Ovis aries: one gene and its partners. The protein of the gene in region 3 purifies or fractionates together with the protein of the main gene of each other region. This does not show direct contact. Links are inferred from orthologs where the notes say so. Each region holds a gene or a part of one and is shown on either strand. Other genes may lie near its edges.

Region 1 (3,993 bases), on a different chromosome or scaffold from region 3:
GGCAGAAAGTGAAGAGGAACTAAAAAGCCTCTTGATGAAAGTGAAAGAGGAGAATGAAAAGTTGGCCTAAAGCTCAACATTCAGAAAACGGAGATCATGGCATCTGGTCCCATCACTTCATGGGAAATAGATGGGGAAACAGTGGAAACAGTGTCAGACTTTATTTTTCTGGTCTCCAAAATCACTGCAGATGGTGACTGCAGCCATCAAATTAAAAGACGCTTACTCCTTGGAAGAAAAGTTATGACCAACCTAGATAGCATATTCAAAAGCAGAGACATTACTTTGCCGACTAAGGTCCATCTAGTCAAGGCTATGGTTTTCCCAGTGGTCATGTATGGATGTGAGAGTTGGACTGTGAAGAAGGCTGAGCGCCGAAGAATTGATGCTTTTGAACTGTGGTGTTGGAGAAGACTCTTGAGAGTCCCTTGGACTGCAAGGAGATCCAACCAGTCCATTCTGAAGGAGATCAGCCCTGGGATTTCTTTGGAAGGAATGATGCTGAAGGTGAAACTCCAGTACTTTGGCCACCTCACGCGAAGAGTTGACTCATTGGAAAAGACTCTGATGCTGGGAGGGATTTGGGGGCAGGAGGAGAAGGGGATGACAGAGGATGAGATGGCTGGATGGCATCACGGACTCGATGGACATGAGTCTGAGTGAACTCCATGAGTTGGTGATGGGCAGGGAGGCCTGGCGTGCTGTGATTCATGGGGTCGCAAAGAGTCGGACACGACTGAGTGAACTGAACTGAACATCATTTTGTTAGCAAGTAATAAGTCATTAGCAAACAAAAAAGTAAATTGAGACATGCACATTAGAATGACGTATATAACACAACCACATTTAAGAATGTATCCAGTATCAAATGGCAGAGAACACTGCAAAACCACAGTTATTTCTGCACCAATCGAATTCTACCACCGCATCTACAAATTAGAGAATTCTTTTAAAAGATGGAGCAGAACTCTTATCTTTGGAAGAAAATGACTTAGATTATCTAACCTTTTCTAAGGCACCTCAGTATTTATCCTGCAAGGCTGTTGGATAAATTAAGAGTAACATACCAAGCCCAGTTGGTGCTGGGTAAATGAAACCAAGGTGTTCAGTCTGCATTACCTGTAATTGTTTTAATAGTAAAGATCTAGCAAGAAGAAAAACTACCAAAAAAGGCAAAAGAAAGTCGTGAATGCAGCAGTGTTGGTGGTTGTTTTAATATTGTTTATTAGCACAGTAACAAATGCAGACTTCAGTAGTCCACAACATAGAACCAATCCACTGAGCAACCCTACTCCACGCCGGACAGCTAACAGCTTAAGGTATTTTACTACAGGTTTTCAGAAGTCCTGATTCAAACCTCTCTCTCTCCACAATAAAGTAGATTGGCATATAAAATAAAATACATAACTACTCATTTTCTATATTGGTGTCTTATAGCCACGTGTCCATTTTATATATGAGATGACAGTCTCTAAAAGCTGTTAAATATCAATGTTCCCTTTCAAGCAGGGAAAACAATTTCCAATTTTTCAAGACAAAAAAGTGTGTAGTCTTGGAAGGACTTTACATAAATGTCCATGTGTAACCTGTACGAAATTAAGCTGTTTTAAATTTACAGTCTACAAGCGACTGTACCCAAATGCCTAGTCCTCTCTGTGCTGCACCTCAGCTAACACTGCAGAGCTAATGGCAGGTTTAGAAGTTGCTATTACCAATTCTGTCTACCGCAGCAAGATACCTTAAGTGACAACAAAATCTTAGGAAATAAGACTGAATAATATCTGTTATAGAAATACCCTACTCTTTACCAACTCCCACCCTCCCCCACCCCTTCAAAATCATAAGCAGCTCTCTCTGTGACAGACAATGCTGTGAAGGACTGTGGAGCCCAGTTTACGTGGCGTATCTCTTGGTCCACTGTCTGGCCATCCTGTCGTGCTCTGCCCTGTTGGTCATATACTGAGTGGCGATACTTCCCACCAAGGGGTCGGCTGGAAGAGAAGACCGCATGTTACTCTGAGGGAAGGAAAGGACGTTTCCGTCTTAGCCAGTAGGTCAGTGGCAGCCTGGGAGAATGTGGACAGGTGGCTGTCATCAAGCCCCTCCACCATTCCGGATGCCTCTCCTTCCAGACTCGCCCCTCCCCCCACTGCAGGGTTCGCCCCTCCATGGCAGGGTTCAGCAGGGTCCGGGAGGCTCGAGGCCCCGACCACCGTCAACACCCAGCTCCGTGCACAGGACCACCCTGTGCTCAGTGGCGCCCAGTCTTGACACTGAGCACAGCGAGGCCCTCGAGGCTCCTGCAGCATCAAACCATTGGCCTCTCCACTATACCCAGAAACGGCCAGAGCTGCCAGGTGGAAACCTGCACTTTCAGTTAAGCAATGCTTCTCTGAAACCTAAACAGAATCTTTAGTAATTCAATTTGTATTTGGCTTATCTAGAAAAAAATTTAGTAACAGGAAATGAAGGTTCAGAAAGCACCACAGTCTGGCCATCACTAAGTATACAGCAGGGAGCCACTGTTCGGTTAGGGGCAGCTGCACAGTGGGCCTGCAGGCAGTGGGCAGGTCAGAGGCAGACACAAGCGTGTCGTTTCAGGAGAACTGTGCGGGAAATATGCGAAGGCGGAACAGAAACACATGAAGGCGGGAATATGACTAAAGATGTGAACCCACGGCAATCTGACGGGAACTCTGCAGATTAAAACTCCTTATTCCCAGAGCACATCAGCTAATGGTGAGTCGGCTGTGTTTCTCAACTAGTAGACAACTGTTGACTAGAAATTCCTCTGAAAAACGATACGTTTTTCTCCTTTGAAAGCGTGTACAAAAATAAAATCTGACCTTTAGAAAATCTTAGTTTAAATGGAAAAAACCACTATTTCCCAGGTGAGGAGGAATAAACCAAGGTAAACAGCCATAAGCTTACCAGGATTACAGTCTGTGAGAAGTGAGCAGATAGAAAGAAGGACTTTAGAAATGGTTAGTGCTGGGCTCCAATTATCTTTCAAAATGTCCAAGCAAATAACTCCTTGACTGTTAATATTACAGTGATAGATTCTTGTCCGAAATGTAACCTAAAAAATAAGGTAGTGTTAAATGAAATTTAAACAGCAAACAATGAAACTTTTTACTATAAAACCTTTTCAATTAAATGGCTCTAATTAAACCTTTTAAAGAAATAGATATTGGTTAAAAAAAAAAAAAAGTAACAGCTTAACTTAACAAAGCCAGTAAGTGTTAAGAGACTAATAAAATTGAGATTAGAAAGTATTCACGGATGCAATCTCAGGCATTTTCAATCTCATTTAAAAAGTAATCACCAACAAAAAGCAAGGTAACTTCAATTTTTCCTTTTTTTCCTCTTGAACTATAGTTGATTTACAATTTGTGTTAATTTCTGCTTTTCAGCAGTGACTCAATTTTACACACACACACACAAACATATAAACAGTCTTTTTAAAAAAATATTCTTTTCCATTATGTTTTACCCCAGGAAGCTGGATATAGTTCCCTGTATGTTTCTTGAATTCATCTTTAGCAGTTTTAATGTAAATATTTTTGGATAACTACTCGTTTGCTGACCTCTTGTGTTAGCTGGTAGAACTACATGGTCTCAAAGCAAACTTCAGCACCTAATTCAAACGTCGTAGTGGGTATATGAGAGAAGGCAATGGCACCCCACTCCAGTACTCTTGCCTGGAAAATCCCATGGACGGAGGAGCCTGGTGGGCTATAGTCCCTGGGGTCGCGACTGAGCGACTTCACTTTCACTTTTCACTTTCATGCATTGGAGAAGGAAACAGCAACCCACTCCAGTGTTCTTGCCTGGAGAATCCCAGGGACAGGGGAGCCTGGTGGGCTGCCCTCTATGGGGTCGCACAGAGTCGGACACGACAGAGGCGACTTAGCAGCAGCAGCAGTGGGTACATGAAGACAAGCTGCTTAGCAAACACCGATCACAGCCCCAAAAGGCTGAAAAGTAGATCCG
Region 2 (5,021 bases), on a different chromosome or scaffold from region 3:
CTCAGATATTCTCTTTTTGAGAAAGTTTCTTATGGATGTATTTCAGAGTATCATTCCTGGGTGACTGAAATAAAAGTTTTGAAAAAGAGATGCTTTAACATATTTATGAACATGGAGATAAAATTAATTATGAACCAATTTTTAACATTTAGCAATAAAATTCACAAAGACTTGAGCAGATTATGTAATCTCTCCAAACCTCAGTTTCATCCTCTGAGAAATAAAGATTTTAATTCTCACCTCATAAGGGGATTGTGTGTATAAGTATGAAAATGAATGCCAAGGACAGTAACAGGCCTGACACACAGAAAGCACCTCATGAAATACAGCTTCACCTACTACTGTGAGCAAGTTATTGTATATATAATGAAAAGTATATCTTGACATTGTGTGAAAAGTTCTACCCATACTGTTAAGTACTCAAATGTAAGACATAATTTCTGCCTGAGCTACTCTGGAGACTAAAAGCGTGAGAAATTATTACTAATCAATAGAGCTTCAGGTAGAACTGTCCAACATAAACGTAATTTGGATATTCAGCAAAATCTTAATGTTGCTTATCCTATTTCCAAACTAGAACTCTATCAGAATCACCTGGGAATAATTTTTTAATTAAAATAAAAAATACAAGCACTAAGGCCATCCCCCAGACCTCCTCTTTGATCAAGAGAAGCCAGACTCTTTGACAGAGGCATCAAAGAAAATCTATAATTTTAAAATTAGCACAGCTAATTCTAAAGTAACTTAGTCTACAGATGGATAGTTGGGAATCACCGATACAGTTTGGCCATTTAAAACTAACTATAACTACCTGCAGTTCATTCTCTATTGGAAACCAGTTGCCATGTTGGTAGAGTGTACAAAAAATCATCCAATATTAAATGTTATTGGAAAATGTCTTAAGAACCTCAGAATTTATCTCCAGAGACTCAATACCTAGACTTGTGTATTCTTTGGTTAAATTCCAGGATGGTTGCCCCAGGTTTAAATTGAGTTCTGGGAAAGTGAAATTTTCATTTGAAGGTCTCAAGCTCCATAACCATATTAGTCAGATGAAAACAGTTCAAAATAGGATGTAAGAACCCATGTATTAAACCTGGCTTTAAACAAAATTGTAAACACAATATACACATTCTATACTCTTAGTTCCAGAGTTTTAAGACAACGAATTTTTTCCCTTATATTTTGCTTTGCTTTCTGTTAGGAAGGCACTCCTGTCAAAAGTTCCTAGGAGCTCAAGTGACCAATGTAATGCAAACATCGATAAATAGATTAGTATAGAAGCATATTCCCTGTGATTAGTAATCAAAGAATACCAACTCAAGTGTAAACTTAGCTAGTCTCATTAGTTTATTTTTAATCACTTGAGATGACACACTTATGCAGAAGCATATTTTCTTAGTACAAGTCAACATCACTTTAACTAGTTAATGCTCAGAGCCACCCATTTTATCATATCTGAAGAGCCTTTTATAGTATACAAAAATGGAATCACATAGTGGGAGCTGCATGCACACAGGATACAAAATCCAGGAACCTGGCTATGGTTTCTCCTATTAGACAATGATTTATTCTGAATATACCAAGTGTTGGAGAAGATTAAAGGCTGAGGGCACACAAAATCATTTAAGAAGATCAATAATTAGGTTTCTCTTTGTCTATAAATGTATATGCCACAAAATATGAATACCATAAACCCTTTGTAAACACCTAAATATAATTCCTCTGTTGATATTTCTATATTAAGTTTTTATTTCAACAAGTTTTGTTTAAAATACTTTCTTCCTAATCATGAAAATTTGAGTTCTCTAGATAAATGTTCAAACCAATGCATGAAAACATTGCCAAGACCTTCAGAATAAACAGGTTAGTCCATGTAGGACCAAGAGTTAGTAGTACTTGGTCCTAGAGAGTTAGGACAAAGAGTTAAAACCTTTAAAGAGCAGTATCTTTTGGAATAAAAAAGCACTATCTGCCAGAGAAGAGCAAATATATCTTAGACATTTGCCCCATAGTATAAATACAATTTAATTTTCTTGACCATTCACCAGTTTTTAACACCTTTACAGCTAACCCAAGAAGCATTCCAGTCATATGCCCACCTCATGAGGGGACATTTATTACCTCTTTATTATTAATTATCACGTCAATAAAAGAGATCTAGGTTTTGAAAAAAAGTTAATAATCACATTTCTTCCACCAGTTTTACCAATTCTCTTGAGACTAACTCTGCAGATAGGTGGACCAATAACCTGTGTCTCCAAAGACCAAGTGAACTGTAAACGAAGAAAACAGAGCTGGGCAAACAGCAATAATACCCAATTCCAATTCTACAATTTCTATTGCAAACAGTTATGGGTACTGGGGAGAGATGAAAAGTACAAAAAAATGTGAAAAATGCTCACACCCTTGCAATAATCCGTTACAAAAGGAGCTGAATTATGTGCCATCACACTTCGATCCACGTTCAAGGACTTTTGAAAGAAGACTAGGAACTGACAAGCTCATGAAGTTAAAAAAATTAAAAGGGAAAAGACTGCCATCCATTTGTTTTGCCAATAAAAAGTCAGTAAAACTTCTGCTGAGCACTCAGTTCTGTGTCTAAACAGGCCACACTGGGTTTCACTTCACAGGTGTTTCATTCAGCTTGCCAGCTGCCAAGACACCCCAAACATACCTTCACTGAGCACAAGTGCCGGGTACAGAAAGTTCACCTGTATTTTACTGGGTCATCAAAGTTAGCATCAACATTCAATGCCAAAGCGAAAAGTCAGAACACAGAGCGCCTTGGTCAGGAAAAGAGAGCATAGACTTAGGATGCAATTTCAGGGAACTCAGCATTCTGCCAACAGTGGACAGTGTGCTTAGATAGTTTGCATACCTCCCCTAAAAATCAGAAAATCTGGGGTAGCCTTTGCCATTCATTCACTCCTTTGAAATCTCCCTCTGCTCTCCCAGACAGCACAGTGCTCAACCCCACAGACACACCCCCAGAGAAGCAGGAACACTCACCAAACAGTGACAGAACCCCACAGACCGACCAGACCACCAGGGACAAGCCCACGCTGCCTGTGTTCTGGAGCACGCCCTTAGGAGAGATGAAGATTCCTGCTCCGATGATGGTGCCAATGATGATGGAGATTCCTCTCAACAGAGTGATTTTCTTCTTCAGCACAACTTTCTCCTGCCCAGGTGGCTCCTTGCCGCCCGGGGCAGGCAGCCTCCCATTAACACTGCCCTGCAGGTAAGCCCCATTGGAGATGGTGGACACCACAGGCTTTCTAACCATGGTAGTGACCCGCAGTGGGGTAAAAGGAAATGGAAAAAAAAAATTGCTTTTAATTCCAAACTTTCAACTGTGGTGTCTCTTGGGGTGACTGACCGATCTGATCTCTTTCCTTTTTGCTTTCAGATTCGTCCTCAGTGATATTGTGCTCGCAGGTAAAAGAGCTAAGGTGTCTTTTCACCTTCCGCGATCTAATTACACCTCAGAAACACCTGTGTGTTCGTTCATGGTGCTCTGGTTCGTTCACCTCCCCGACTACCTCTGCTGCTGCGGCTGCTGCTGCCGCCCTATCACTACAGACCAGATCAGCTTCCTCATGGGCTGGTATTTAAGCGCCTGCCTGTCACACCAACTTACTCCAGCTAGATGATGATGCAAATTCTCCAGGTTTGCATCAGCCACATGAGAAAGCTCCAGCATTACTCAGCTCTTTTTTTTTAAAAAAAAAAAACCACGAGCAGCAAGTTGCTCAACTGACCAAAGCTTTCAAAGAACAAAGCACACACTTAAAAGGGATTTTAACCAATCCAGAAGTAGTAAATTCAGAACAGACCTTCCCAGAGATTTCAAGCAACTCCTAGTGAAAGCTCTTTACACGAGAAGAAAATTAAAAATGAAACAGGAAACGATCACTACGTTGTAAGAAGTTTCTTTTTTCTTTAATGTACATATGAAATAGTTTACACCAACCTTTTAATCACAGAGCATAACCCAAAGCTGCACTGTTTATAAAAACAAAATTTAGTTTTCATAATGCTTCCTGCTTACTTAAATTTCTTTTTATTTTGGGTTTCCTAGCAACACAGTCAAATCTAATATTTACAGACCTAGAAGGATTCTGTATAGCTGCTGTCATGCACAAAACAACTGTGAGCTTTACTTAACATTAAAGATAAAAACTATTTCTTACTACCAATAATACACCAGTACTTAAAATTGCCACCTTAGTATGACTACTTCAAAAATTAGTGACTCCAGAAAATAGTCATTTTTTGATTCTTATTAGTGCTAGGTGACCTCCTAAACTAAGTATTCATAAAAAGATATACCCTTCATTTGCATGTTATTCCAACAAATTATGAAAAATATCTAATTTCAAAATTAACCAACATTTACAATGATATAAAAATATGCATATAACAAAAGCTTGAAAACAGATACACAGAATAAAAGCTGAGAAAGTATTCACATTATGTAGGATTTTTGTCTAAAGTATACAGACTATTGTTACATTATAATTATAAATTTTAAATATGTTAGTAATATAAGCTAAAATGAAAATGCTTAGTTTGAAATTGTTAGAAAGGCAAACATGTTTAAACCCTATTATCTTTCTTAATCAAGTGTTCATAAAACAAATACCAAAAGAAATCTCAGCTACCACTTTTGGCTGTGGTCATAGGTGGTTGTGGATTTTAGTGAGAAGAATTAGTTATCATTACTCTGAATCTACATTTACAAACACTATTAAATATGTTTCTGAACATCTGAGCAAAAACAACAGACAGCAAACGTGTGTGTGAGAGGTGGCAATGGGGATGAGGAGGTGAGCCAGGATGACACAAGAAAGAAGCAGCCACTTAAAAGTAGAGATCAGACCATTTTCTGTTTTGCTGGCACCTGAGCAAATTATACCACATCAATGCAAGTAACTGAGGCTACATCATTTCCCTTTTGTATAATCTACCTAAACCCAAATACTTTGCTTTGAGTATACCACGTTAGTGTTTTCATC
Region 3 (4,067 bases):
AGGACTGGTAAGCAGGGCCTGGCCCTTTGTGTGGCTGCCCACTAACCTCATGCCCACTAACACCTGCTCACCCCCACGCAGGGAAGGAAGCCAGGGAGGCAGCCTGGGAGGCCGGGGCAGCCCATGGGCCACTGCTCTGACCTCTCGTCTTTGCCTGCAGACTCCCCTGGGCCTGCCGGACCACGCTCCCAGCTCTAAGTCTCCGAAGCCTGCAGTGGGGCCTGGCGGGGCCACCCTATTCTTTCCCTACACCCCCTGCCCCGTCAGGAGCCTAATAAAGACTACTGCTGCAGCTCCGACTGTCCCAGCTCTGCTGGGGGTGAGGGAGGGAGCCCAGGTGCGGACAGCCGCTTTGGCATCAGGGGCTGGCGAGAGCTCTCGGTGAACCAGGCAGGGGGAGGCACGAGGTTGACAGCAGAGGTGGGCAGCAGCGCGTCACGTTTATTGAGGGCCTGCCCCCAAGAAGCTCACAGCCTGGGGGCTGAGACCCGACATGTGCCGGGGAGGGGGCGGGGGTGAGAAACGGGGTGAAGGCAGGAAGGAAGGTAGTGCAGCAGTGGGGTGCAAAGCAGGCACAGGCAGGGGGCCGAGGGGAGCAGAGCGGGAGGACGGGGGCCTGGAGCGCCCCGCTCCACCGGAGGCTGGGCCTGGGGACGGGACCACGCACAGGCTGGGGGACTGCCCCTCCCCCGCCTGGCTGGCACTGGCTGGGGCGCCCTGGGGCCCCCCCGCACCTCCGCCTGCCCTGAGCCAGGCTGCAGCACCACGTGGTCCCTCTCCACCCAGGACTCCACCACGCAGAGCCCTGACCGAAGGCAGGGGGAGGGGGCTCCGGCCAGGACAGCAGGGTGGGGGCAGGGCCCAGGAGGGAGCAGCTAGAAGCTTCTGTGCTCCTGGGTCCCCAGGGAAAGCCCTGGCCAGCTAAACAGGGAAGGGATGGCGGCCTGAAGGAAAGGAAGCAGAACCCCCATAACCAGGAAGGGTCCCTGAGAGGCCCAGACCCCTCAAAACTTCTCCTGGCGGGGAGGTTTGGGGGTGGACAGGTGAAAGGCCGAGAGGAACCCACCTGAGGGGAAGGGGGGCAGCCAGACACAGAGCAGCCAGGTGGGCAGCAGCCGAGCAGGGACACGCACACACGCGGCTCACCACCAGCGTCCCCTTTAATAAAACACGGGGGGTCGTGTGACAGGGAAGGGGTGGGGGAGTGAAGTATGACCATTTACAACCACAAGAAAACCTCTGTACACGTCTAGCGCCTGGCGGAGGGGCGGGCGGTGTGGCAGCGGCCGGCAGCCCTATTTGTAGAGAATGTCGTAGTGTCCGGGCCGGTAGAGCAGGTAGACCTTGGGCTCAGAGCCCTCGGGGAAGACGTGGGGGTTGGTGGTGCCGCCCTCGCCGCGGTCCATGTACTCCACCTGGATGGAGACGCTGAGCGCCTGGGCCAGCGCGATGATGTGGATGTGGTCGCTCTCCTTGCACATGGGCTCCACCTCCTGCGGCACAGCGCGGCTCAGGGGGCGCTCGGGGGCCCCACCACCTGGGCCCTCCCCGGGGCTCGAGGGAAAAGGGGCCCACGGCTGAGGAGCGGGGAGGGGCAGCACCTGCTGGCAGAACTCCTTGACGGTCCGCCCGCCCTCGATGAAGTGCTCGAAAAACTTGCTCTCGCGCTGCAGGTAGCCCGAGGTGAGCAGCCGCAGGTAGACCACCAGGTAGTCCGAGGTGCTCTGGTCGTTGAAAGAGGCCAGCAGGTCGGCCACGGGGGTCCGCTTCTCCACCTGCTCGATCAGGTCCATGAACTGCACCCGAGGGGGACACAGGGCGAGACAGGGGAGACAGGTCATCCCTGCCACTGCCAGGCCACCACCTGCCACCCTGGCCGACCCCGCGGCAGGGCAGCTGGCCTCACCGTGTTGTGGAAATCCTCAATTGTGAACTCAGTGAAGCCCTGGGACACCAGGTCCTCTTTGCTCTTGGCAGACACAGCCTTGAACCTGTGGACGGGTGGGGGAGAGGGCGCCACGGGCTCCTAGGCCGGCAGACCCGGCCCAGCAGGGCCCAGGCCATCACTGGGCCTCAAGGGGAACCGCACCTCCCAGCCACCAACAGGGAGGAGGGAGCCCACGCGCCCTTCACGGAACCTCCCCCGCGCCTCCTCACCGCTGCAATTCCTTGCTGTCGTCCAGCAACGCCTCCAAGTGGGAGAATCCGAAAGCACGATAGAAGCAGTTTCCATCAGGCCTGGTCTTGCGGATGTATGAGTACTTTTTGTGGAGGTCCTGCGGAGAGGCAGCCCCCACCCCACCACGTGCCCATCAACATCAGGCGGAAACCAGGGCAGGCCCAGGAAATGCCCCCAACAGAGGTCACCACAACAGCCTCCTGCCATCCTTGGCTGCTGACTCTGATAACGGGGGTCATTTGGCAACCCGCTGCTGGGAGCCCCAGAGCCTCAGGAACATGAATTATAGACACACTGGTTGCATCGGTCACCAACCAAAGTGGTCATCAGCCGCTAGGCATGCCATGCTGCTGGGCCTAAAGGGCTGTTGTTTCATAAAACCAGGCAACTGAATGGGTCCTTGACGGAAGCAGCTTTTCCAGTGAATAGCCTTTCAAACTCTTGAGAGATCCAGGGCAAACAAGTGAGTGTACATGGCGCAGCGCCGCGCTGGGGGCCCCCACTGCACTGCACAGTCCTGGGGTGGGAAACAGCCCCCCTCACCTCCATCTAATCCCTGCCCTGCCCGCTCACGGGTACTGGTTCACTCTTTCCCAGTTTCCTCCCCAGCTCAATGGAGTTCCTCCTGTCTGTTCAATCTCCCCTCAGGAGTCGGGGGCTGGCCCTTGGTGCTGTCCGGCAACCTGGCCTCACTCCCCGGGCCTGAGCACCCTCCCCTTCCTCCTGACGCCTATTTCATGCCTTCTCCCCATATGTTAAGCCCCCAGCCAGTCATCTTCCCGATGACCGTGCTTCCTGAGGACTTCCACTAAGAAGCTGTCATCCCCACGGCACCCTACCCCCCCGGGGCCTCACTCTCCATCCCTGGAAGGTCCGAGGCTGCTCCCAGAGCCATGTTGCCTTGGACTCAGGACACTGTTCCTGAAGTCTGCCCCCCCGGCTCCCCAGCATCAGCTTCTCTCTCCAGACCCACTGGCCCCACCGCCTATAAACAAATGCTCTGCTCCCCATGAATTCCCTCGCAGCCACCTCCCCACCTCTCTGCTCTCCCGCAGGGCAGCACTGCTCCTGAAGCTGCCTGTGCCACTGTCTCCATTTCTTTTCTGCTGGGAACGCAAGCCCAGCCGGCTTCTTCTCTAGTGAAGGTCACAGATGCCCTCCTAAGTCCAAGGGTCAAACCCACTCCCGCTAGACCGTTGCCGAGCAGCGTCCCCCTGCACCGCAGGTGTGGTGACGCAAACCCCCTTCTTCGCTCCTCCCCCACCCTCTCCATGCCCTCACCGCTGCCCCTCCTCACCTACCTGTAGTGGTCACAGCTGCCACCCAACCACACACCCCTCCTTTAAGACCCATGTGTCCCCTGCCAGAAGACAGTCTCGCCAGGGACCATCCACAGCCCCTGCTGCGTGAGCAGCACAAGCTGTTCAGGCCTGGGGCAGCCCGGCGTCAGCTGTCTCCTGACCTCCTGGGATTTAAACGTAATTCTTCATCCACCCACGTCTTCCCCCTCCACTCAACTGCCTGGGCTGCACCACCTCTGAACTGCCCAGCCAACAGGCGGCTTCTGACCTCTGGCCTTTCCTGCCTTTCCTCAGCTCCCCACCTTTCAGCTGCAACCCTCCCAGCCGTGCGGACTCCGCCCTCAATGCCCCCAGCCACCCAGGGCAGACCCTGCCACTCTGCCTGCGTCCGTCTCTCCTCACGTGGGCTGTGCCGCTGCCCCGTCCAGCTCCATCTAGAGCCGGTTTCATCGCAAAGGCTTCCACACAGTCTCCCTGCCCGCACCTCACTCACTGCCCAGTCTCTCCCCACCATGGCACCAGCAACCACAGAAACCCAGTAAACGCGGCTCCCTCCGAATCCCTTCTCGGCTCCAAGCCCAGCGTCT

What was found.
Region 1: the proteins of OTUB1 (region 3) and UBE2E1 purify together in Homo sapiens (affinity purification with mass spectrometry; 4 studies listed by BioGRID and IntAct, with this or other methods). This does not show direct contact. The link is inferred for Ovis aries from reciprocal best matches to the Homo sapiens genes OTUB1 and UBE2E1.
Region 2: the proteins of OTUB1 (region 3) and SLC7A11 purify together in Homo sapiens (affinity purification with western blotting; 5 studies listed by BioGRID, with this or other methods). This does not show direct contact. The link is inferred for Ovis aries from reciprocal best matches to the Homo sapiens genes OTUB1 and SLC7A11.

What each region holds. Positions count from the first base shown.
Region 1 is NC_056079.1:41,402,784-41,406,776, forward strand, and holds the end of UBE2E1 (ubiquitin-conjugating enzyme E2 E1), read right to left. Parts: intron 3,080-3,993; coding exon 2,932-3,079; intron 1,992-2,931; coding exon 1,894-1,991; 3' UTR 1,201-1,893; downstream 1-1,200. UniProt on the Homo sapiens protein: Accepts ubiquitin from the E1 complex and catalyzes its covalent attachment to other proteins. Catalyzes the covalent attachment of ISG15 to other proteins. Mediates the selective degradation of short-lived and abnormal proteins.
Region 2 is NC_056070.1:19,470,705-19,475,725, reverse strand, and holds the start of SLC7A11 (cystine/glutamate transporter), read right to left. Parts: upstream 3,590-5,021; 5' UTR 3,290-3,589; coding exon 3,013-3,289; intron 1-3,012. UniProt on the Homo sapiens protein: Heterodimer with SLC3A2, that functions as an antiporter by mediating the exchange of extracellular anionic L-cystine and intracellular L-glutamate across the cellular plasma membrane.
Region 3 is NC_056074.1:38,773,304-38,777,370, reverse strand, and holds the end of OTUB1 (ubiquitin thioesterase OTUB1), read right to left. Parts: intron 2,277-4,067; coding exon 2,158-2,276; intron 1,992-2,157; coding exon 1,907-1,991; intron 1,797-1,906; coding exon 1,602-1,796; intron 1,494-1,601; coding exon 1,296-1,493; 3' UTR 1,143-1,295; downstream 1-1,142. UniProt on the Homo sapiens protein: Hydrolase that can specifically remove 'Lys-48'-linked conjugated ubiquitin from proteins and plays an important regulatory role at the level of protein turnover by preventing degradation.